Linked DNA regions of Ovis aries. The protein of the gene in region 5 purifies or fractionates together with the protein of the main gene of each other region. This does not show direct contact. Links are inferred from orthologs where the notes say so. Each region holds a gene or a part of one and is shown on either strand. Other genes may lie near its edges. The genes, in order: RPS3, PSMA4, RELB, ARRB1, NFKBIA and NFKB2.

The links.
Region 1: the proteins of NFKBIA (region 5) and RPS3 purify together in Homo sapiens (affinity purification with western blotting; 4 studies listed by BioGRID and IntAct, with this or other methods). This does not show direct contact. The link is inferred for Ovis aries from reciprocal best matches to the Homo sapiens genes NFKBIA and RPS3.
Region 2: the proteins of NFKBIA (region 5) and PSMA4 purify together in Homo sapiens (affinity purification with western blotting; 3 studies listed by BioGRID and IntAct, with this or other methods). This does not show direct contact. The link is inferred for Ovis aries from reciprocal best matches to the Homo sapiens genes NFKBIA and PSMA4.
Region 3: the proteins of NFKBIA (region 5) and RELB purify together in Homo sapiens (affinity purification with mass spectrometry; 4 studies listed by BioGRID and IntAct, counting the BioPlex papers as one, with this or other methods). This does not show direct contact. The link is inferred for Ovis aries from reciprocal best matches to the Homo sapiens genes NFKBIA and RELB.
Region 4: the proteins of NFKBIA (region 5) and ARRB1 purify together in Homo sapiens (affinity purification with western blotting; 3 studies listed by BioGRID and IntAct, with this or other methods). This does not show direct contact. The link is inferred for Ovis aries from reciprocal best matches to the Homo sapiens genes NFKBIA and ARRB1.
Region 6: the proteins of NFKBIA (region 5) and NFKB2 purify together in Homo sapiens (affinity purification with mass spectrometry; 6 studies listed by BioGRID and IntAct, counting the BioPlex papers as one, with this or other methods). This does not show direct contact. The link is inferred for Ovis aries from reciprocal best matches to the Homo sapiens genes NFKBIA and NFKB2.

The regions. Positions count from the first base shown.
Region 1 is NC_056068.1:53,317,636-53,321,676, reverse strand, and holds the start of RPS3 (small ribosomal subunit protein uS3), read right to left. Parts: upstream 2,801-4,041; 5' UTR 2,771-2,800; coding exon 2,741-2,770; intron 2,199-2,740; exon of another isoform or gene 2,049-2,198; intron 1,904-2,048; coding exon 1,773-1,903; intron 1,502-1,772; coding exon 1,408-1,501; intron 527-1,407; coding exon 432-526; intron 1-431. UniProt on the Homo sapiens protein: Component of the small ribosomal subunit. The ribosome is a large ribonucleoprotein complex responsible for the synthesis of proteins in the cell. Has endonuclease activity and plays a role in repair of damaged DNA.
Region 2 is NC_056071.1:28,737,446-28,739,847, reverse strand, and holds part of PSMA4 (proteasome subunit alpha type-4), read right to left. Parts: intron 1,376-2,402; coding exon 1,298-1,375; intron 925-1,297; coding exon 836-924; intron 372-835; coding exon 241-371; intron 1-240. UniProt on the Homo sapiens protein: Component of the 20S core proteasome complex involved in the proteolytic degradation of most intracellular proteins. This complex plays numerous essential roles within the cell by associating with different regulatory particles.
Region 3 is NC_056067.1:52,491,192-52,494,691, reverse strand, and holds part of RELB (transcription factor RelB), read right to left. Parts: intron 3,019-3,500; coding exon 2,672-3,018; intron 1-2,671.
Region 4 is NC_056068.1:53,205,181-53,208,680, forward strand, and holds part of ARRB1 (beta-arrestin-1), read right to left. Parts: intron 3,404-3,500; coding exon 3,352-3,403; intron 2,049-3,351; coding exon 1,937-2,048; 3' UTR 1-1,936. UniProt on the Homo sapiens protein: Functions in regulating agonist-mediated G-protein coupled receptor (GPCR) signaling by mediating both receptor desensitization and resensitization processes.
Region 5 is NC_056071.1:43,394,548-43,398,761, forward strand, and holds the start of NFKBIA (NF-kappa-B inhibitor alpha), read right to left. Parts: upstream 2,801-4,214; 5' UTR 2,713-2,800; coding exon 2,486-2,712; intron 1,865-2,485; coding exon 1,756-1,864; intron 1,428-1,755; coding exon 1,217-1,427; intron 827-1,216; coding exon 738-826; intron 615-737; coding exon 354-614; intron 1-353. UniProt on the Homo sapiens protein: Inhibits the activity of dimeric NF-kappa-B/REL complexes by trapping REL (RELA/p65 and NFKB1/p50) dimers in the cytoplasm by masking their nuclear localization signals.
Region 6 is NC_056075.1:22,788,547-22,792,792, forward strand, and holds the start of NFKB2 (nuclear factor NF-kappa-B p100 subunit), read left to right. Parts: upstream 1-1,446; 5' UTR 1,447-1,563; exon of another isoform or gene 1,564-2,880; intron 2,881-2,909; exon of another isoform or gene 2,910-3,098; 5' UTR 3,099-3,170; coding exon 3,171-3,191; intron 3,192-3,473; coding exon 3,474-3,555; intron 3,556-3,691; coding exon 3,692-3,732; intron 3,733-3,982; coding exon 3,983-4,081; intron 4,082-4,160; coding exon 4,161-4,246. UniProt on the Homo sapiens protein: NF-kappa-B is a pleiotropic transcription factor present in almost all cell types and is the endpoint of a series of signal transduction events that are initiated by a vast array of stimuli related to many biological processes such as inflammation, immunity, differentiation, cell growth, tumorigenesis and apoptosis.

The DNA.
Region 1 (4,041 bases), on a different chromosome or scaffold from region 5:
AAATCTTATCAGCAAGCCCAGCTCCGGGGCCAATCTAACCACCTCATGTCCTCTGTTCCTCACATCACTATCTATAAATACCTACTGGGCATACCTGACTAGATTTTAAGCTCTCTTCTCAGCAATGAGTCTTCTCTCTTGAATCCCCAGAGTTACCACCACACAATGTATGTGAATGACTTCAACATGAACCCAAACCATTCCCCACCCCCATCCTACATTCATACTCCCACCGTGCTCTACTAACACCACTCGCTTTTTTAAACACTTGTCTTTACTAGTCTTTCTAACTAGGCTGCAACATGGATTGACAATGTCTTATTGTTAAAGCCCTCAGAGACTAGCTGAGCCTGTCCAGAGTCCACTTACTAAATTAACAAAATAGCTGATATACTGATTCACGAAAGGACACAATTCATAAGGACTCTTACCTCCGCACAGCAAGGCCTCCTAGGAGCTTGTAACGCAGAGACTCTGCCTGGGCAATGGCACACAGTCCTCTTGTGGCTACCTTTTCAGCATAAAGCTTTAAAGAAAACAAGGCACATTCTTAAACTTGTTACACTCATCACCACCGTTTTCAACTAAAAATCAGCACATTCATGATTCAAGCAGACACCCCTCTATGTATCACTCTATTTGTTCTCATTTAGTGGATGAGTGTGCAACCCCATTGGCTACAGCCCACCAGGGTCCTCTTCTTCTCCAGGCAAGAATACTGGTGAAGGTTACCATGCCCTCCTCCAGATCTTCCTGACTCAGGGACTGAACCCGCGTCTCCTACATTGGCACGCAGATTCCTTACCAGTAAGCCACCTGGGAAGCCCTTCACTGTACTACCCAAGTATTAAAGCACTTCTAATGCCCACATCTAACAAACACTCAGGGACGCAGACTGAACTGAACCATTCCTCATTTTTCTCCCACCCCCACCTCTTTCCACAGCCAAATCATGGAGATCAATGGGCAGCCAACCTCTCCTATGTATCATTACTAATTCCAAGATAGGTATAAACTGCTGCCAACTGCTTATTAAAAGACCTTCAACAAAATACCAATCCATTTGTAATACTCACTGATCACAAGTAAGCTTTCAGGGTGATAATATGAGTTTTCAGAAGTACCATCCTAAAGAGGGCTTCCCTGGTGGCTCAGATGGTAAAGAATCCGCCTGCAATGTGGGGAGACCTGGGTTCAATCGCTTGGTTGGGAAGATCCCCTGGAGGAGGGCATGGCAACCAGCTCCAGAATTCTTGCCTGGAAGACTCCCCATGGACAGAGAAGCCTTGGGGCCATGGGGGTCACAAAGAGTTGGACACGACTGAGCGACAAAGCACAGCACAGCACCATCCTGAAGAGCCATTTCTAGCTCCAGAGTAGCCTCTGGCACAAGCCAGGATCACTCACCTCTACACTGCCTTCAGGGAAGCCGAATCTCTTCTGAACCACAGCAGTCAATTCCCGGATCCGCCGGCCCTTCTCACCAAGTACATTCTGTGTCCTGGGGAAAATGAAGAGTGACAATTCACAGCTCTCATAACATTACAGATGTAATTTTAAACCTTGCACACGTGTGGTAGTAAAAATCTAATTCATCTGACACAAGAAAGCATAAATTTTGGATGACAAGAACTAAGAGATTATCTTTTTTTTAAATGCAGCTTAAAAACTCATTCACGATGACTCAACTGTTGTTCTGCTACGTTTACAGAAGAAATCACCTTAGTGCAGACAACAATTACAGGTGATGGCCAGAAAAATGAATTTTTCACCTGGTGGCCAAGATGATGATCTCTGTCCTGGTTGGTGTAACTCGGACCTCAACTCCAGAGTACCCATCTTCGGCCAGCTCCCGAGTGAGAAACTCGTTCAGTTCAGCTTTGAAGATGCCATCAGCGACAAACTAACCAAAAGCAAAATGAAAATGAGGATCTGGACATGGGCTCAGGTTTCTAGCCCAGTCAATGCAACCCTAATCAAGATTCAACACCTCCAACCAACGACCCATCATTAATTATTTTGCCTTGTTCCAGAGAAAACATAGCAACCCTTCTCAGACAAATGCCTCTAAGTCATCTTTTGGAAGTTAACTTTGACCCAGGCCCTTAAAACTGTGCCACAGAACGCGGCACAGGGTAGGGGTCACCTGGACAAAGAGAACACCTCCAGTCAGACTCGTCATCTCCTCTTCATTGAAGGGTTTTAAATAATCAAACCGTTTCCCCCAGGTCCCTTCCCTCTATTTCCCCAGAACGTTTCCTTGACCCCAAGATAGAACAAGAAATTGTCAGTAACCTTCCAAACTGAGGTCCTTGGGGTCAGAAGCCTGCACCCAGACAAGCCTAGGAAGAAGGCAAGCGAACACTGCTACCTCCCTTTCTCAAAGCTACCATTCGATGAGGGAAAGGCTCATGCATTCAAAACATCACATTTAGTAACTTTACTAACTACTGACTAAGAAAGGCTCACAAGCGCTCCTCCACGGCAGGAGGAGCCCTCAGTGCTCATCTCTGCTCTCCGCCCGGAACCGGCAGAAATCCTTCTCTCCTATCCCAGCCATACCGTTCTCAGCAGCCACGGGCCTGCGCTCAATCCACCGCCATCCGCAGCCCACGGGAAAGCGACACAGTCCGGCCGCTGCCCCGGGCATAGCGAAGAGCTATAAGTCTCGCAATAGCACCCAGAAAGGCTCCTGACCCGCGAAACGCCACTTCCCTGCAACCGGGCCCCGGGATCTCACCTTCCTCTTTTTGGAAATTTGCACGGCCATCTTGCCGACGCGAGCCGCCGAAAGGAAAGGAAGTGGCAAGCGGGCGGAAGTGCGTATAAAGGGCGCTGTGCGACGACAAAGAACTGCGCGACGTCGACGCCTGTGAGCGCTCATGGGAAGTGTAGTTTTCACTTTGGTAAAAGGAAAGAGAAAAGCGCGGTCCAAGGGTTGATGCTTTTGAACTGTGAGGTGTTGGGGAAGAAAGGAAATCAATCCTCAGTATTCATTGGAAGGACTGATGCTGAAGCTGAAGCTCCAATACTTTGGCCATCTGATGCAAAGAGCTGACTCATTGGAAAAGACCCTGATACTGCCTTCAGAAAGACTAAAGTCAGGAGGAGAAGGGCAGGACACAAAGGATGAGACAGTTGGATGGCATCACCGACTCAATGGACATGAGTTTGAGCAAGCTCCGGGAGATGGCGATGGACAGGGAAACCCGGCGTGCTGCAGCCCATGGGGTCGCAAAGAGTTGGACACAACTGAGCGACTGAACAACAACAATATCCAGAAACCTGGGCTTTCCAGGTGGCACTAGCGGTAAAGAACCCGCCTGCAAATGGAGGAGAGAGAGTGGTGAGGGGTCGATCATAGGGATGAGGGGTCGATCTCCAGGTCAGGAAGATCCACTGGAGGAGGGCATGGCAACCCACTCCAGTTTTCTTGCCTGGAGAATCCCATAGACAGAGGAGCCAATATCTCAATCAGAGCTTTAAAAATTCAGGGAAGTTTAGAGTCCAGTTCTCATCAGTTTAATTAGAGCCCAGTTCTCATCAGTTTAAAACCAAGTATAAACACACACTTATCTGCTAACTTTATTCTTTAATGAAAAAAAGTAAAAGCACTTTTGGGCTGAAAGCCCTCAGAGAAATTCACTGAGGCACCTATCTCTTCCAATTTGTGTCCACTTCCTCTGTTGCAAACTGATAATATATATATAATATGTATTAAATATTCTAAGGACTGTTTTAGGACTTTATATTATTAATTCATTACCTCTACCTCACGTTCATAAAGTATGTTACAGCTTGTAACAGAAGTTACGATAATGGCTCGCAATTCTTTTTCAATTAAAAAAAATCTCCCCTCGCAGATTTTATTACAAAAAATTTCAAACATACAGAAAAGTTGGAAGAACTATACAGTGTACACCTATATATGCATCCCTTAGGTGCTGCAATTAACATTTTTTTCTGTATTTGCTTTATCAGATATTTATCCTTGCCTCTATCCACCCAACAGTGCATCTTTTGATACATTTCAAAGTTACT
Region 2 (2,402 bases), about 15 Mb from region 5:
TTATTTTCACAACTTCTAACTGGAAACTGGTACTTCCTTTCATTATTACTGTAGGTTATAAATCCTAGCAGTATTAGTACTACCTGTGACTTTGTCACCAACAGAAATCACAGAGATTTTCATATCATGTTAAGTTTGTTGCAGCTACCTTAAAATGTTGTTTACACTCATCACTACTTCATAATTATGGCAGTTATTAGACCTTTTGCTAGATTTTTACAGCAACACAAAAATACTCACAGCACTATTATTTCCAATGCATGTGGCTTTCCAACCTCCGTAATTTCCACTAGGATCACTCTGATAGAGCTGGAAGCCATAGTGCTTATCCCAGCCAATGTAAAGCAATGAAACACCGAAAGGACGTTTTCCTTTAACAGAGAAAACAAAGTCACACGTATCAACACTCTAAATTTAGCATCACTATGGTTAGTTGAGCGCAGTGAATGTGGCTAACCCCTCTTCTGTGAAGTTAAGCATTCATAAACTGCTCATGTTCTGGCCACCACAGATAAGCTCCATCAGAAATTCCACTTTTGTTTCTAGGATTTGGACGCAGTGAGGAGAGGGAATACACAGACGACCAGTGCTGAATACCATTAATATTACGTAAAAAGTCATTTGTTTTCTGATTTTAGAATGTTATTTCGGCCTTTCAGTAATCTATTAATAAAATGTTTGATAGTCTACATAGTGGAAGCCAGTTAGTTCATGAAGCTGGAATGTATGAAGTGTCTACTTATTTCATTTTCAATTTCTTTTTACTGTTTCAAAAAGGTTATTACTCATAAAACGTTTTAACTTTTGGGAATGAAATTTCCAAAGGTTTCAGTACCTCCAAACTGTGTATAAGCTTGTTTGATATCACACAGTGCTGTGACCAACTGCTCACAAGGAATTGGCTCCTGATACTGTAATAAATACCTAGGATAAAGAAACTGGCATATTAATAGTTTTCTCTAAAACACTCTACACACTCTAAGCAAAATACCCTTTTAAAAAAATCTCTGCCATGGGGACAACATAATAGTTGTGATCTGAAGGGGGAGGGTAGAGGGTATGGCAACGCTTAATAACCTTACTGTAAACAATACTGGGTTGGCCAAAAAGTTCGTTCAGGTTTCCCATAAGATGAATGATCTTTTTGGCCAACCAAATATTTTACAAGTTTGGTTAAAGAAATAAACAAACTGTAATTTTCAGTTAATAGGTTTCTAATGCCTTTAAACTTTAAAAAAATGCATTCTTCATAGAAACATCAAAACTAACTTTACATATCAATTATTTATGACCATACCTTTGCGCAATGAGCCTCAGTTCATTGGTGAGAACATTAGCATCAGAAGTTATGCCTGCCACACTACAGGCCATATCCCTTGCAGAAGAGAAACACATTTATCTGTAATTAGGGAGGATGTTTGCCAGAGGTATTTTACAAGTTTTAAAATACACTAAATTCTATTAGAAATTCACCATGCTTACTCACAGTTGCTACACCCTTCAGGCAAAAACTACGTGAGTTTTATCTTTGTAGGAAACTTTCAATTTGACGTCATTCAATACATAAGATAAACAAATGCACCCTTGATCTTCACAACAGATGTATTTACCATCACCACCCTGTGAACAGGGCAAGAGAATAAACACTAGGAAGCTAGGGTAAATCCCAACAAGATTCAACCACAAGGAAGAAAAATGTTTTGCCAGACAGGAAGACAGACTACTTCACACTCTTGGGTATAAGTACTCTTTCAAAGGCCTCACTTGATGGGGGTGAAGGTGAAGGGACCCAAAGGGCAGGATATTTCTGAGCCTGACAAGGAAGCCCAGGGCCAGGCTCGCTGGGAGGGGTGCATTTTCTTTATCTACCCTCCGTTTCCTGAAGGCTGCCCTGGACCTCCTACAGCCTAGACTCCTCTGGCACTGTGCCCAATCAAGCCTGCAGGCTGCTTGAGAGGGCCCAACAGTGACTCTGTGGAGGGATGACACTTTCTGGGGTGCGTGTATCAATAAGGCCCTATAGCCAACATTCACATGGTGTACCACAGAAGGGAGGGTCTCCAATCAGCAAATCCAGCTCTCTGTTAGCTGCAGTCCTGAACACCCAAGTATATCAGAAATATCACTAGTGTACAGGCCCTGTCTAACCTTTTCCAAGACTTCCAGGAGGCGTGGTCTTTGGTAAGATTCAGTATAATTAAAACTAATTCCTTGTAACCATTCTAAACAATACCTCGAGGTCCTCCTATATTCCTAACACTGTGCTAGCTTATTTCACTCATTCATTTTATGTCACTGAATTGCCACGATCACTCCAGTAGGCTCTACTGGAGGCCCAGAGAAGTTAAACAACAGGTATGGAAGTCACAGCTTGTATTGGTGGAACCTAGATTTAACCCAAG
Region 3 (3,500 bases), on a different chromosome or scaffold from region 5:
TGGGAATACCAGACCACCTGACCTGCCTCCTGAGAAATCTGTATGCAGGTCAAGAAGTTAGAACTGGACATGGAACAACAGACTGGTTCCAGATCGGGAAAGGAGTATGTCAAGGCTGTATATTGTCACCCTGCTTATTTAATTTATATGCAGAGTACATCATGAGAAACGCTGGACTGGATGAAGCACAAGCTGGAATCAAGATTGCCAGGAGAAATATCAATAACCTCAGATACGCAGATGACACCACTCTTATGGCAAAAAGTGAAGAACTAAGCCTCTTGATCAAAGTGAAAGAGGAGAGTGAAAAAGTTAGCTTAAAACTCAACATTCAGAAGACTAAGATCATGGCACCTGGTCCCATCACTTCATGGCAAATAGATGGGGAAACAGTGAGAGACTATTTTTTTGGGCTCCTAAATCACTGCAGATGGGGACTGTAGCCATGAAATTAAAAGACGCTTGCTCCTTGGAAGGAAAGTTATGACCAACCTAGACAGCATATTAAAAAACGGAGACATTACTTTGCCAACAAAGGTCCGTCTAGTCAAAGCTATGGTTTTTCTGGGTAGTCATGTATGGATGTAAGAACTGGACTATAAAGAATGCTTTTGAACTGTGGTGTTGGAGAAGATTCTTAAGAGTCCCTTGGATTGCAAGGAGATCCAACCAGTCCATCCTAAAGGAAATCAATCCTGAATATTCACTGGAAGGACTGATGCTAAAGCTGAAACTCCAATACTTTGGCCACCTAATGTGAAGAACTGACTCACTGGAAAAGACCCTGATGCTGGGAAAGATTGAAGGCGGGAGGAGAAGGGGACGACAGAAGATGAGATGGTTGGATGGCATCACCAACTCAATGGACACGAGTTTGAGTAAACTCCATGAGTTAGTGATGGACAGGGAGGCCTGGCATGCTGCAGTCCATGGGGTTGCAAGGAGTCAGACACTACTGAGCGACTGAACTGAACTGAACTAAAGGCTGCAAGTGGAAAACACTTCAGGCAGGAGGAACAGCAGTAGCGAAGGCCTGATGGCTGGATGGTGGGGAGTGAGGGGGCTGGGTGGGAGTGGGCAGCAGAAGCTGGACCAGGCAAGGTCTTAGAGGGCCTTCCCTGGTGGTCCGGGGACTAAGATTCCATGCTCCCAATGCAGGAGGCCTGGGTTCCATCCCTGGTCAAGAAACTAGATCCGACATGCCACAACTAAGATGGAAGATCCCACGTGCTGCAACTAACACCCAGAACAGTTAAATAAATAGATAAATCTTTTTTTTTTTAAAGAAATAAGCAAATGTCTTCAGAGGCCCTGGGGAGGATCCTCCCCAGGAGGATCTTGGGCCTCCTCCTGAGGGCACTCCGGAGACAAAGGAGGATTCTAAGCAGGGGAGAGGAGCAGATGTGTAATTTACCAGCACCTCTCTGGCTGCCTCAGTGAAGCGGGGAGGGAAATCTGGGAGGGGACTGAGAGCTGGTCACCAGGGAGAAAGCTGGAGGTCAGGGAGCAGCTGGGCCTGGATTCGGCCCTAGTGGGATGGTGAGGACACAATTCAGGCTCCACAGACACTTGGGCAAAGATCCAGAAATACAACAAGGCTCCGTATTGGAGAGGCATGAGGCACCGGGCCTCTCAGACATCACTGGGAGAGACAGTCATGGGTGCAACCCCCGAGGAGGGCAACTTGGCAATGGCTGTCAAGTTGCCTTTGATGGGCAATCCCGCTTCCAGAAGTTTGGGGATCTTATTTTACTTTTTTTTCCCCATGCCACACGGTTTGCAGAATCCTAGTTCCCCAACGAGGGATTGAGCCTCAGGCCCTCAGGTATGAAAGCAGAGCCCTAACCCCTGGACCACCAGAGAAGTCCCTGTTACCACATTTTGTAGAGAAGGCACAGAGGGACTGAGTAACCTGCCCGAGGCAGCAGAGCTAGCAGCTGGTGGAAGCAGGATTCGAACTCAAGCACTCTGATTCTTACCGTGAACCAGGAGGCTACACAGCCTTTACAGCAATAATGACTGTGATCGATCCTGTCATATTCCCAGGAAGAAAGTCTTTCTTTGAAAACTCTTTAAATTTAATGCCAAGTAACAGTGGTATCTGGAGAAGGAAATGGCAACCCACTCCAGTATTCTTGCCTGGAGAATTCCATGGACAGAGGAGCCTGGCGGGCTACAGTCCATGGGGTTGCAGAGTTGGACATGACACACACCCAACAGTGGTATCATCAACCCTGGCAGTAGCAACAACAATAATAACCACTGTAGGGACCTCTCCCTTGGCGCAGTGGCTAAGAATCTGCCTGCCAGTGCAGGGGACAGGGGTTCAATCTCTGGTCCGGAAAGATTCCACATGCTGTGGAGCAACTGAGTCCGAGGGCCTAGAGCCCCTGCTCTGCAACAAGAGGCCACCGCAATGAGAAGCCCGCACCACAGCTAGAGAGTAGCCCCCACGCCCGGCAACTAGGGAAAGCCCACAGCAAGGAAGACCCAGTGCAGCCAAAAATAAATAAATAGATGAAATTCAAAAACCAATCATCATCATCATCATCATGATGAAAATGCACGAATAAAGAAATTCGCGTGTGTGACTCCTGGGGGCAAGAGAATCGCAGTCCCCACCCCACCCCCCGCCTCCCCCTATTCCCGGTGCCCAGCCCCCTCTGCCTACCTCGATGGCGGGCAGCGTCTTGCTGGCTTCGGTGCTGCTCTCTCCAAGGATGCTGCCGGCCGAGCGGCCCTCGCACTCATAGCGGAAGCGCATGCCGCGCTGCTTGGGCTGCTCGGTGATAACCAGGTGCGGCCGCGGCCCGGCGCCCGGGGCCGGGGGCACCAGCCGGCCCAGGGTGCAGTTCCAGGGCGGCGGCGTGGCCGGGGGCGGGGGCGCCGCGGGGCCCAGGGTGACGGTGCTCAGGGAGGCCGCCCCGCGAGATACCAGGCGTGGCAGCCCCTCGCCCGGGCCAGGCTGCGCCCCCTCCAAGCCGAAGCCATTCTCCTTGATGTACTCGTCGATGATCTCTGGGGGAGAAGCCAAAACTGGGGGTGACGCTGATAGTTAAAAGGCTTGTTTAATCCCCTGACTTTTGCCACCCTCTCCACTTCCCGTCCATTCGTTTCTTCAAGACAGATTTCTTGTGGGTTTCACATACACAGAGTAGGGGCTTCAGCTCTGAACACACAAAAAAGCCCCTGCCTTCCTTCTTGCAAATAGACCCCCAGCGTGCCCAGTTCTTAAGGCCCTGAGGGTGGGCCTGGTTTCTCCTTCTCCTGCACCCTCATGTCCACTGGCCTCCGAAACAGCTCCTGCACCCACGCCTTGATCACCTCTCACCTGGATCAAGGTAAGACCAGGTCACAGGCACCCCTGCCTCCATCTTGCTCCATTTAATAACAAGAATAACAGCTACTCTGCCGAAGCTTCATCTCAGAAAGGAGCATCACCGTCCAGTGATCAAGCTGGAAGGATGCCAAGTTTGTCAGTGGCTCAGGATCCCACATCC
Region 4 (3,500 bases), on a different chromosome or scaffold from region 5:
CAAAGTCCATCCCAGGAGGGGCTGAACTGAAGAGCTGAGATCCAGCTTATATAATAAAACTTGGCCATCTGCCTTTTCACAAGTATGGGACACAGACAGAAAGGAGGAAGAGATCCCCTTGCCCTGCTAATCAATACATCTGCTTGGATATGAGGCAAACTTCAGGACATCCAAAGAGGGTGTGAAGTAGTACCGTGTCTATCGCAAGCTCTCCTCCCCTCCCCCTGCCACGCCTCAGCAAATACAAGCAAATACAATACCTTCTGTAATACTTGGTCCCTAGGGCCAAGCGGCTCATGCTAACTACAGCCACAGCTTGACATCAGGCAACCCTTCACCCTGGCCCAGTCTAGGGACCTTAGAAGGGCCCTTCTTCGGCCTGGAGTGGGTGTAGGGTGGTGGTGCTAGGTGCTGTCTATTGCCCCACCACCCCTCGGGTTCAGTGATCCTCACTGGTGGCAGACAGACCAGAATCAGTGGTTCTGGCTCCACCCACCAGACCAGAAACTCTAATGCTCACAAATTCTTGGAGGCAGAGCTGGGAGGGCCCCTTGTGATCATCTGCTCGAACCCCTTGGTTTTCTAGGTGAAGTACTGAGGCCCAGAGACGGAAAGGAACTTGCCCAAAGTCACACAGCAGTGAGCATCAAAGGTCAGAGAAAAACAGTTAACTTTTAACACTTTCTGCCTCATCGTCTGCCTGCCCCGTTGCCCTGGAAGTATGCCCCATGTCCTAATCACACCAACATCAGCCCATGGGTACTGTACACCCATGACAGTGGGAATCACTGTGTGTGTGTGTGTGTGTGAGTGTGTGTGTATTGGCGGGGGGTGGTCATCAGCTCCCCAAGGAAACAAAAGAGTCCCTCTTCCTTTTAGGTAAGGACAACTCAGTGGACCTTGCTACCTTCTATGGAAGGACCCCCTTTGACTGTGGGCACGGTGGTCTCAGGGGCTCTCTTCCAGTCCAGCCCTGGAGACCTGCAAGGGCAGGAAGACATTGGTGGCCTCAATCGTTCTGGCCCTTCAGTCTTGCTTCCCACCAGATCGCTGATCCCTCTTAAGGAAGGGAGCTGGGCAGACTCTCATCTTCTCACCCCACCCCCATCTCATAGTCACCCTTCAGGACACCTCCTCAAGACCTTGGTGCTTTCCGAAGGCCCCTCCCTTCTCTCTGTCGCACTCTGTGCATATCTGCGGATGACACACAGGCAAGATACAGGCAGCTAGGATATTACATCCTGATGATACTGACATAGACTCGGGCTACTTCACACGACTTGCCTTAGACTAGGTAACTGCAGGTAAGAAAGTCAGCCCAACTGCTTTGCTCCATTCCTGGGGTCTACAAACCTTCACCAAGGTCACTGTCAGTCACAGAGGGACGGGGGCAGGGACGAGGGAGGAAGAAGACAGGTGTTTGGTGGGTCCGAACTTCGAGCAAAACTGTGTGGAAAATCTATCCATGGGCCTGTCCCCTCCCAACCAGAGGAGGGTGGCCTTCAAAGCGGTCATGTTTTAGCTGCCAGAACTGTATTCATCACCCGGGACAGTGGCCTCATCCTCTCACGTGTCTTGAGCCTCCATCCCCACCCCGCCAAGCCCTTGTGCCCCATCTTCCCCTTTCTGCTCCCCATCCCAAGTCAAATTCTAAGGCCAGAGCCGTGCTGGCCTGTCTAGGGGTCAACAGGAAAAGAGGAGGGATGGAGAAGTGATGCGGTGAGAGGGTGAGGGTGTTGCCTGTGGCCCAGTTGGCATGGTGATGGGGGCCAATCCTGAGGCCAGGGGTTCCCATCGTGACCTGGAAGACCGCTGGGCCCCCTGGTAGAAACTGGAAGAACAAAGGGGAGGGGGAGTCAGGACAGGAAGAAGACGAACAAGCATCCTAGCGCATGAGAGTGGACCTGGAGCTGCCCGGAGGGAGGGCGGCTCCAGTCTATCTGTCGTTGAGCCGCGGAGAGCCGGTACCATCCTCCTCTTCCTCCTTGTCATCCTTCATGCCTTTTAGTCTCTGGCGGGCAAAGTCCTCAAACACAATGTCGTCATCGCTGGTGGGAAAGACAAGGAAAACAGGCGTGTTTGCAGGGCAGGGAGAGGAGGTTTACTCAGAGGGGTCGGAGGGCCTGCACAGCCCAGCAGGACCCAGAGGCCGGCCTCTGGGACTGGTCTTGGATAGAAAGGCCTGCCAGGCCAGCACATCTGGATGCCCATCAATGACAGTGGGACCAGCCAGTTGCAGAAATACCAGAGGGAGGCCTGAGTTTGCTAAGGGCTGGAAATCGACCCAGCTCTTGAGAAGCTGGGGTTCAGGCACACATCAAATTGTGGGTGGGGGCGGGGAGTGAGGCAGGGTTAGGGCCAGAGGAGGAACTTATTTCCACAAAGAGGCCAGGCCGACAGCAGTTTCACAGCATATTCTGAGTCCCCCAAGAACACGCCCCCACCCAAGAACTACCCTCAGGAAGCATTCCTGTTTTCTGAGAAAACCCCAAAGGCCCTTTCTCCAAGGAAATGTCAGCTCACATTCTACCCTGAGGGATATTGGATACACAGGGTCTGTGGGGGCTGGGGTGGGGGCTAGGCAAAGCCCAATAAGGGTGGGGAGCAGAAAAAATATGAGTGGAGAAAGAGGGTGCCTGAGAGGGGTTCCAGAGGGGCTGCCTCTAAGAACAGTGAGCTCCCTTCTACTAATAAAACATGTCCACATGGGCCCACTCTCCAGGCCCCAGCCCCACAGAATTCAGCCAACTGCACGGGGTATCCTCCATGGGCTGACTTAAGACCCGACACATCTCCTAGAGGACAAAGGAAGCATAGATTTGGAGCTGGAGCGAGAAAGCTGCTTGGACCTGGAGGTGGTTCATGTTTGCCCAGGTCCTCCCCTCTGGCCACTGTCCTGTGAGGTGACAGCCTTTGACCACAGGGCCATCCATACTGGTCCTCACGAGTCAGAAACAAGAAGATCCCCAGAACCTTCCCCACCCCACAGCCTGATTCCACTGGCTGGACACCAGCCAAGTAGGAGGGTCCCAGCCCAGGGCCACAAACCAGCCCTGTGACAGCCGAGCAGGTGCTGTGGATGGACGAATGGACTGACGGACTGACGGACGTGCAAGGACGAGGGAGGAAGACAGACCCCACCAAGGCAGGAGGAAGAGGAACAGGCACCGAGGGTCCTTCAAGTCACATGCAGGCAAGCGGGTTGCTGAAGAGGCGAGCAGAGGCAGCTCTCAGCAGATGGGTTAGACCACTGCTCCTCGGGGTTAATTAGCATAAATGCATATAACCAGGCAGCCCCGCCCACCTCCCAAGGCCCACCCCGCCCATGTCTGCAGGCAGGGTTCTGCTTACTTGGTGTCAAGTTCTATGAGATTGGTATCTACTGGCGTCTCGTGCTCTGGAACTAAACACAGGGCAGATGACCGCCCACGGGTTACTGGCGAGTGAGTGAGGGGGCAGGTGGGCACAGGTCCTCACCCCGGGACAACTAAGCTAAGGTA
Region 5 (4,214 bases):
AAAAAGGCATGTTAAACTCGCAGGGCTTTTCCGAGGGTGCTAGGATGATGGGGTGGGCTGTTACTGGAAATAACTCAAGTATTCCTGGACCCCATTCTCTATACACTGAATGTAAATGAATTTCCTGGGCTGAGGGAGTTTTCCTTTAAGGATCCTCCTTCAACAAGAGCCAAAAAAAAAAAAAAAAAAAAGACATGCTCTTGGGATTCTGCTTACACATACTCAAGCTTGAGAGGCTCATTACATTGAGACCCTCAGGATAAGGAGGAACTCTAGGAGCCTTAGAAGGGGGAGGGAGAATGGCCTCTCTCCTTTCTTTTTGCAAAGCCATGAACAAGTTAATTGGGACTCACCTCATCTTCTGTGAACTCTGATTCGGTGTCATAGCTTTCCTCATCCTCGCTCTCTGGCAGTGTCTGAAGGTTCTCTAGGGTCAGCTGGCCCAGCTGCTGCTGTATCCGGGTGCTGGGGCGGCCCCACGTGAGCTGGTACGGGGAGTAGCCCTGGTAGGTGACTCTGTTGACATCAGCCCCACACTTCAACAGGAGTGACACCAGGTCGGGATTCTGCAGGTCCACTGCCAGATGGAGGGCAGTTCGGCCATTGCAGGGCTCCTGGAACCATAAGGAATTCAAGATGCTTATGGCTGAGTTTGGAAGTTCTGCTTGCAGCAAAAGCCCTCGTATTGAGGACCAGGGTGGCCTGATGTACCCCATTTGAAGGTGTGAGGCACTGACCTGAGCGTTGACATCAGCGCCCAAGGACACCAACAGCTCCACGATGCCCAGGTAGCCATGAATAGAGGCCAAGTGCAGACACGTGTGGCCTAGAAGACCAAAAGTAAGACAGTATTATAACTACTTGTTTCAACACTCATTTCTCAAGCAGAAGCTTTCACCTATTCTTTTTTTTTCTTCATTTATTATTTTCAATTGAAGGATAATTACAATATTGTATTGGTTTCTGCCATACATCAACATGGATCAGCCATAGGTATACATATATCCCTATTCTTTTGAAGGATACATTCTTAATTTGAAGAGCTCAGAATCTGGGTTCTGAATGGACTTTAGAAAGGCATCAACTAGGCCTTTATACATGTTTTCTCCATCTTTCATATGTTGAGAGCTTAGGCCTTGCTTGGCCTCCTTAAGTCAGCCTGCCTCCCCCGTGTCCACCTCACCTGCCCTCTGATGGGCAGGACAGCCAGACATACCATTGTAGTTGGTGGCCTGCAGAATGGAGTGGAGCTGCTGGGTTCCCCGGGGCTGAGTCAGGACTCCCACACTGGCCAGGCAGCCCTGCTCACAGGCAAGGTGTAGGGGGGTATTTCCTCGAAAGTCTCGGAGCTCAGGATCACAGCCAGCTTCCAGAAGTGCCTCAGCAATTTCTGGCTGGTTAGTGATCACAGCCAAGTGGAGTGGCGTCTACAAACAGAAGAGGGACAGAAAGGATAAGCCATGGATCCAACCCACCATCTGTGTTCCCTTGAACCCCAGAGATATCTTGGTTGTGGGTGCTGCTTTTCCCAGGCGCATACCAGGGGCAAAGCAAAATACCAGAGGCCCCAGATGGGCTTCATAAAGGCCTTCCCAAATCAATGGAATTTTGTGTTCTAGAATACTGGCTGACACAGGTGTAAAAAATCAGGGCAGATAATGCCCAAACCTTTGTTAATCTAGAAATCATGTGCAAGACCCGGTTTTATCTCGGGGTCAGAGCGGGAGAGAGAGGTACGCGGCGGGAGAGCAGTACCTGCTGCAGGTTGTTCTGGAAGTTGAGGAAGGCCAGGTCTCCCTTCACTTGGCGGACCACTTCCATGGTGAGGGCCTTCTCTTCATGGATGATGGCCAAGTGCAGGAACCTGAGGGGAAGAGAGGGAAAACCCCCAGGGCTGGTGAGTGCACTGCGTGGGGCCCGGGGAGGCGCGGCCCGCGGGGGATTGCGCAAGGCCGGGGTTTCTGGAGGCCGAGGCCGCGGTGTTTTCCGCGAGGTTATTATGAGCTGAGTGTTCCTGGCAGGCGCCCAGGGACTTTCCGGCCCCCCGCCCCCCCCGCGCTCGGCGGCGGGCGCCGGCCAGACCGCCCCGCCCTCTCGCCCGGCCGGAACGCCCTGTACTTCCCCTCCCGGCCGCGCGGCGCCCGCCAGCGGGGCAGAAACTCCCGCCCCCCCCTTATGCAAGCGGGGACTTCGCGTCCCCGCCGCCGCCCCGCCTCCGGCCGAGGGGACCCGCACGGGGGTGTGCGTGCGGGGGGTGCGCGCGGCTGCAACGCAGGGCCGCGGGACCACGGCCCCGGAAACCAGCGCCGACCCCCGACCCGCCCCCCCCGCCCCGGCCCCCGGCCCCGCAGGCAGCCGTGCACCTTTGCACAGCCTCGGGGTCGGTGCACGAACCCCGGTGCGCGGCCGCTGCGCGGGCCCCGCGCCTGGGGCTGCAGGCCCAGCGCCTCCACCCGGCCCTGCCACCCGGGCCCGCGACACTTACGAGTCTCCGTCCTCGGTGAGCTGCTGTTTCCAGGGCTCGGCGCCGCGCGGCGCCTCCTGCGGCTCGAGGCGGATCTCTCGCAGCTCCTTCACCATCTGCTCATACTCCTCGTCCTTCATGGAGTCCAGGCCGCTGTCGTGGCGGTCGTCCAGCAGCCTCTCCTTCTTGAGCGCGTCCCGGGGGCCCTCCATGGCCCAATCTTGGCCGGGCTCGGCAGGCTGGAACATGGCGCGGTGAAGGCTCGGGCGCTGCTCCCCAGTGCACGGGCCGCGGGCTGCGCTGCGCTCTGGCTGCTCTCGGAGTCGCGGGCGAGCGGGACGACGGGCTAGGACTGTTGTGGGCTCGGCAGCGCCGCCGCGGCGCCCTATAAGCGCTGGCAGGGGATTTCTCCGGGGCGGGGTCAGGCGCGGGGAATTTCCAAGCCAGTCAGACCAGAAAAGAGAACTGGCCTCGTCCTCTGCTAGGGGGAAAAAGAAGCCTAAACCCCGCGCCCGAGTTCATCAGAGAAACTCCCTGTGATGAGCCACTGGGGTCATGTACAGGGAACTTTTTGATGAACGCTGAGTGGCTGGAAAGTCCTCCTGACCGGGCCCCCTCCCCGGGTACTTCCCTGCAACCTGCACGCAGTAATCCTGGCCCTCTGCAAGAAGCTCTCTTTCCCTGGGTTTTCCCGATTTGATCGATTTGATTTAGGGTCGTCAGCTGCTGAGATCCCAAAGACGCAGGCCTGCAGGCTGGTTCTTCACTGGGGTTTACCGACCTGCAGGTCTTTTCCGGTTTTTTTTTAAATCTTTTGAAAACGCGAGTGGAAATGTTGGCCGGGTGTAGGGATTCACTTCCCCAAAGCTCTCTGCGGGGAGGACGCACTGGTCGGTGGAAGGTGGCTGCCTCTGCCTTCCTGCCAGTACCAGGCTCTTAGCATTGTAGGCACCGGCTGAATAGCCAGCCCCAGCCCACTCTCCACTCCCACCCCCACCGCCCGACCCCCGGGTAGAAGTTTCTAAAGCTTTTGGCATTAAAAGCCTAAATGATTGCTGCTACTGCTGCTGCTAAGTCGCTTCAGTTGTGTCCGACTCAGTGTGACCCCGAGACAACAGCACACCAGGCTGCCCCATCCCTGGGATTCTCCAGGCAAGAACACTGGAGTGGGTTGCCACTGGGGAACCGTCAAATCATTTCCTTGGGATTATCAATCCTGTTGACTGGAGGAGAGGCAAGCACTCTGCCCTGTATGCAGGAAAACGGTGAAAACAACCATGGTATTTTTCAAGGAAAGCAAGGTATGAGTCTTTGTAGCAGAGGCTGTAAATCCCTTGAAGTAAGGAAATAATTATGGAGGTCGGGTTCCCTGCTCTGCACTGTGCTGCTGCAGGGAACAGACCCTGAGCATACTTCTGGGTCCTCTGCTGGGTGACTTTGCAGAAGCATTTGGGGAAGGTGGCTGAAGAATGGGTAGAGTAGTGCCTTATCCAAGATGAGGCCTTATGGATGGCTAAGAAATTAGCTGCCAGGCATAGTGCAGGAGGCTCAAGGCAGCCCATGGTGCCCTTCATCCTGCCTCTGCTGGCTCCTTGCTCTCCTGCCTGGGAGAGACATGCATGGGACCCATGCTTGCCATATGGGTAGCCACTCCAGGCTCACCACCCTCCTCTCACCTGCAGAAATAGAACCTAGGCTCTCTGCGCCCCCCCCACCTCCTAGTCAATGAGAGGTATGCATTCATCTATTT
Region 6 (4,246 bases), on a different chromosome or scaffold from region 5:
CAATTCCTAAGCAAGTTTTATTGCCCCTGACTTTCAAATCTACCTAGACTATGACCATTTCTCCCACTCTTACCTACTCCTACCCAAGTCTAAAGTCTCACAATGGGGTGGGAAGACCTGCTTTGCTTTATACAAATTTAGGGTGAAGAGCTTTGTGCTAGAGTTAAGAGACTGGGTTTGATTCTCACTCTGTCCCTTGTCAAGCCATGTATTTGGTTGTGTTACTTCTCCTCTCTGAGTCTTAACTTTATCAGTTTGGGCTTCCCTGGTGTCTCAGGGGTAAAGAATCCATCTGCCAATGCAGGAAATGCAAGAGACTCAGTTTCAATCTCTGGGTTGAGAAGATCCTCTGGAGAAAGAAATGGCGATCCACTCTAGTATTCTTGCCTGGAAAATTTCATGGGCAGAGGTAGTCCTGGCAGGCTACAGTCCATGGGGTTGCAGAGTCCGAGATGACTGAGCAACTGAGTACACATACATCTTCCCATAGTATCTGGCACATTCAATCTGCAGGCAAGATGAAGAGGGAAGTGACAGGAAATTACCCAAATCAAGGGCCACAATAGTCTCCCTTTATGCAGAGCTACTGCAGGCCTGTAATTCCATAATTAAGGTCAGGGGCAAGCTGCAGGCAAGATTTGAAACAACAGCCTATGTTCTACCATGGTGAGCCTAAGGGAGGACACCTCCAAAAATGGAGATTATTCATGGCACCTCCCGAAAAGAAATTCTATCAACCAGAAATGTCCAGCCCCAGAGGTCAATACTTTGTGAAAATCTGTACTGACCTTGCTGCTGCTAGAAGTATCTAAGCAGGCAGGGACTTCCCTGTGGTCCAGTGACTAAGACTTCACACTCCCAATGCAGGGGGCCCAGATTCCATCCCTGGTCAGGGAACTAGACACAATGAAGACAGAAGATCTCAACAAAGATCTCAGCTAAGACCCAGTGCAGCCAAATATATATATATTTAAAGTAAGCAGACATTGAAAACTATATAAAAAGGTAATTTCTTACATCAAAGGCATTTGAACTAATAATTTTGGATGACTTTTCAACTCTAATATTCCAAACTTCCGTGATCGATGAGCAAGGCCTGAGTCTCCCAGATAAATACCTCCTTTCCCTTATCCTCGGAAGACCTCCTGAGCTCAGGTCTGAAAGTCTGGCCAGCTGTTAACCTGTCATTTACAAAACAAGTTTCAGGTCCAGACACTTTCTTCCCGGGAAGACAGAGGATTATGGAGTCTCCTTGAGGCTCCAGAGGGGCCACCAGATGGCACTCTAGAACCTACTGCAAGATTAACTTCCTTCCTCTTCCTCTAAGTCTTCCCGGCAGCCGGGCCCCGCTCCGGGCGGGACCAGAGGGGCTGAGGCATATCAGCTTCCCCCTGGGGTTCCCCGACTTCAGAGGTGGCCGAGCATTAGGCGCAGCATAAAACCGAGTAGCAGCAGGGGCTGCCAGCCGGCTTGGACAGGCCTGGGTGTGAGGAGACCGGAGCCAGGTGCCTCGGCTGGGGAATGGCGCTCGGTCAGCGGATCCCGCAGCGGGGTGGTCCCCAGGTTAGAGCTAGTGCCTGTCTGAGGGTCATTCTCACTCTGGCTTCCAGAGCTACACAAATATTTCTCCTCCAAGGGGCGCCCCTGAGTCACTCCCGATTGGCTGTGTAAGTCCAGGAGTTAAACTTTCAGCCAATGAAAAAGGGCATGGCGAGTGACGCACGGAAACGTCACGGGAATTCCCCCCTCCCGGGGGCGGAAAAGGGGCTTTCCCGGCTGGAGTCCTGGTGGTGGGAGAGGTGTCGCGACCCGTCCGAGGTGGGTCCGGCCGGGAGAGAATCCTGAACCGGAGCCACCGCCGCGGTGAGTGGCCGGGTTCAGACCCCTGGGTGGTGGGACACCGGCAAGGGCGGGAGGAGGGTCCTTAGCTGACCGAGCCTTAGAGCTGAAGAGCGGCATCTGCGCATTCAGAGAGCGCGCATACGAACAGGACATGCGGATACACATCGATATCCTGTACAAAGATATGGGCCGTACGTCCATCTACACGTATGCCGCAGGTGCACAGGATCGCCCATGCATTCAGACTCGCACATACATGCATACGCAAAACACACTCACCCGTGCACAGGTGCCTGGACACACACCCTCCACGCAGAAACTCAACGACAGGTTCCCCTGTGCCCTCAGATACACGCTGACATGTGTCCACACTAATAAGCTTAAGGACTCTCACCTGTACACGCATGTCCACGCCATGCACACAATGCGCAAGCACATGGGCTGAAACATATTAGACACCTGTACAAGTGTTACATACGGCCATGGGACAGGGGCGGGGGCGGGGCACCCAAAGCAGGTGCGGTGTGGGAATCAACGACTGTTGAGATTTTCGGGAAGAGGGAATGGAGGTGCCCATCCCAACACCCCCTCCGGCCCCTTGGCCTCAGAGACTGCTTCTCGGGACAGAACCCCGGGGCCCTCTACTCGGAAGAGCCCCCACCTACAGGCCTTCGGGGTGGAGGCCTTCCTACAGCAGGAATGTCCCCCCAAAACCCCCCGGGGTGAATCAGCCGTGGCCTCCCTGAGGGTAGAAAATCCCAAGGTTGCTCCAGGAGGGGGAAGGCGGGGGGGCCGGTCCCCGGACTAGGAGCTTCCTCCGGCCTTGAAAGACCCCCAGTCCCCGGCGCCGGCCTGGAGAGAGGAGGGGGGTGCCCCCCCAACCCCGCGGGGCCTTCCCTGGGTTTGATTGCCCCTCTGCTTGCAGAGACGCTGCAGGCGCTCTCCGGCCAGCGAAGAGACGACCTCGCGCCCCTCCCGCCCGGGGGCGTGGTCAGTGGCGTCATTTCCAGGCCCGCCCCCTGGCCCCGCCTCCCCCTGGTATTTTCGGGACTTTCCTAAGCTGTTCTAACTTTCCTGCCCCTTCCCCGGCCTGGCCCAGCCCAACTCCGGATCTCGCCCTCCACCGGATCCTGCCCGCCACACCCGGACGGGTAGCTGGAGGAGATCGGACCCTCCCCTAAATTTGGGCCCCTCTCTCCCCCCAACTCCCGTCCTGATCTATCTCTCCCTACACCCGCCACTCCTCCCCACCTAAGGCGGGCGCCTGAAACTCTGGGAAACAGAACCCGGCCGAAGCCACCGGACAGAGCCGGGCCTAGCCCAGAGTCATGGACAGTTGCTACGACCCAGTGAGTCACGCCGCCTGGCCTCAAAGCCTGCCGGCTGCCCCCCTGTGCCTGTCTGCTTGTCTGCCTGCCTGTCCTAGTCCCTTCTACTCCCTTGCACCTCTAATGTCCTCAGATTATTTCACCCTGCCTGTAAGTCAGTCTCTGCAAACTGGTTTCAGTAGGAGCTTTTTTATGGGCCTGCCTAGGAGAGGGGGTGATTGCTAATGGTTTAGAGAGCTGAGAGGTGGAGGGTTCTGGGGGTGGCTCAGAATCAGCTGCCATCTCAGTCTGTCTCCATACCAGGGTCTGGATGGCATCATTGAATATGATGATTTCAAATTCAACCCGTCCATTGTGGAGCCCAAGGAGCCAGCCCCAGAGACAGGTTAATAAGTCCCCTGACCTGCCCTTGTCTTGGAGGGAGCGGGAGGGAGGAGGAGGGAGGAGCATGTGGTGTGTGTGCCCTCTGTCTTGGGAATGGGCTCAGAGGTCCTGGCTCAGCAAGGCTCCTCTGTCCCCAGCTGATGGTCCCTACCTGGTGATTGTGGAACAGCCTAAGCAGGTGAGCAAGTAGAAGGGATGGCTTCAATTTTGGGGGCAAGTGGGACAGTTGTAGCTGGGTGGCCACGGGCAGGGTAACTGATCACAGACCCACTTCGGGTTGGGATTGTTAGCAGCTGCTGATCACAGTGGCCTGGTGGTGATTCAGGATACATACGTCCAGTCATTATGGTCACTGCTGGCTGGGGATGTGGCTGGTGAGGGGGGATGTTTCTCCTGGTCACAATGTCACTCTGCCCTGGCACCTTCAGCGAGGCTTCCGATTTCGATATGGCTGTGAAGGCCCTTCCCATGGAGGACTGCCAGGTGCCTCTAGCGAGAAGGGCCGGAAGACTTATCCCACGGTCAAGGTGAGCCAGGGTGGTGCTGGAGGGTGGGCTAGTGGACAGTGTGTCCATGGGCATTACTGACAGCCCTCACCCTTCACAGATCTGTAACTACGAGGGACCTGCCAAGATTGAGGTGGACCTGGTAACACACAGTGACCCACCTCGTGCCCATGCTCACAGTCTGGT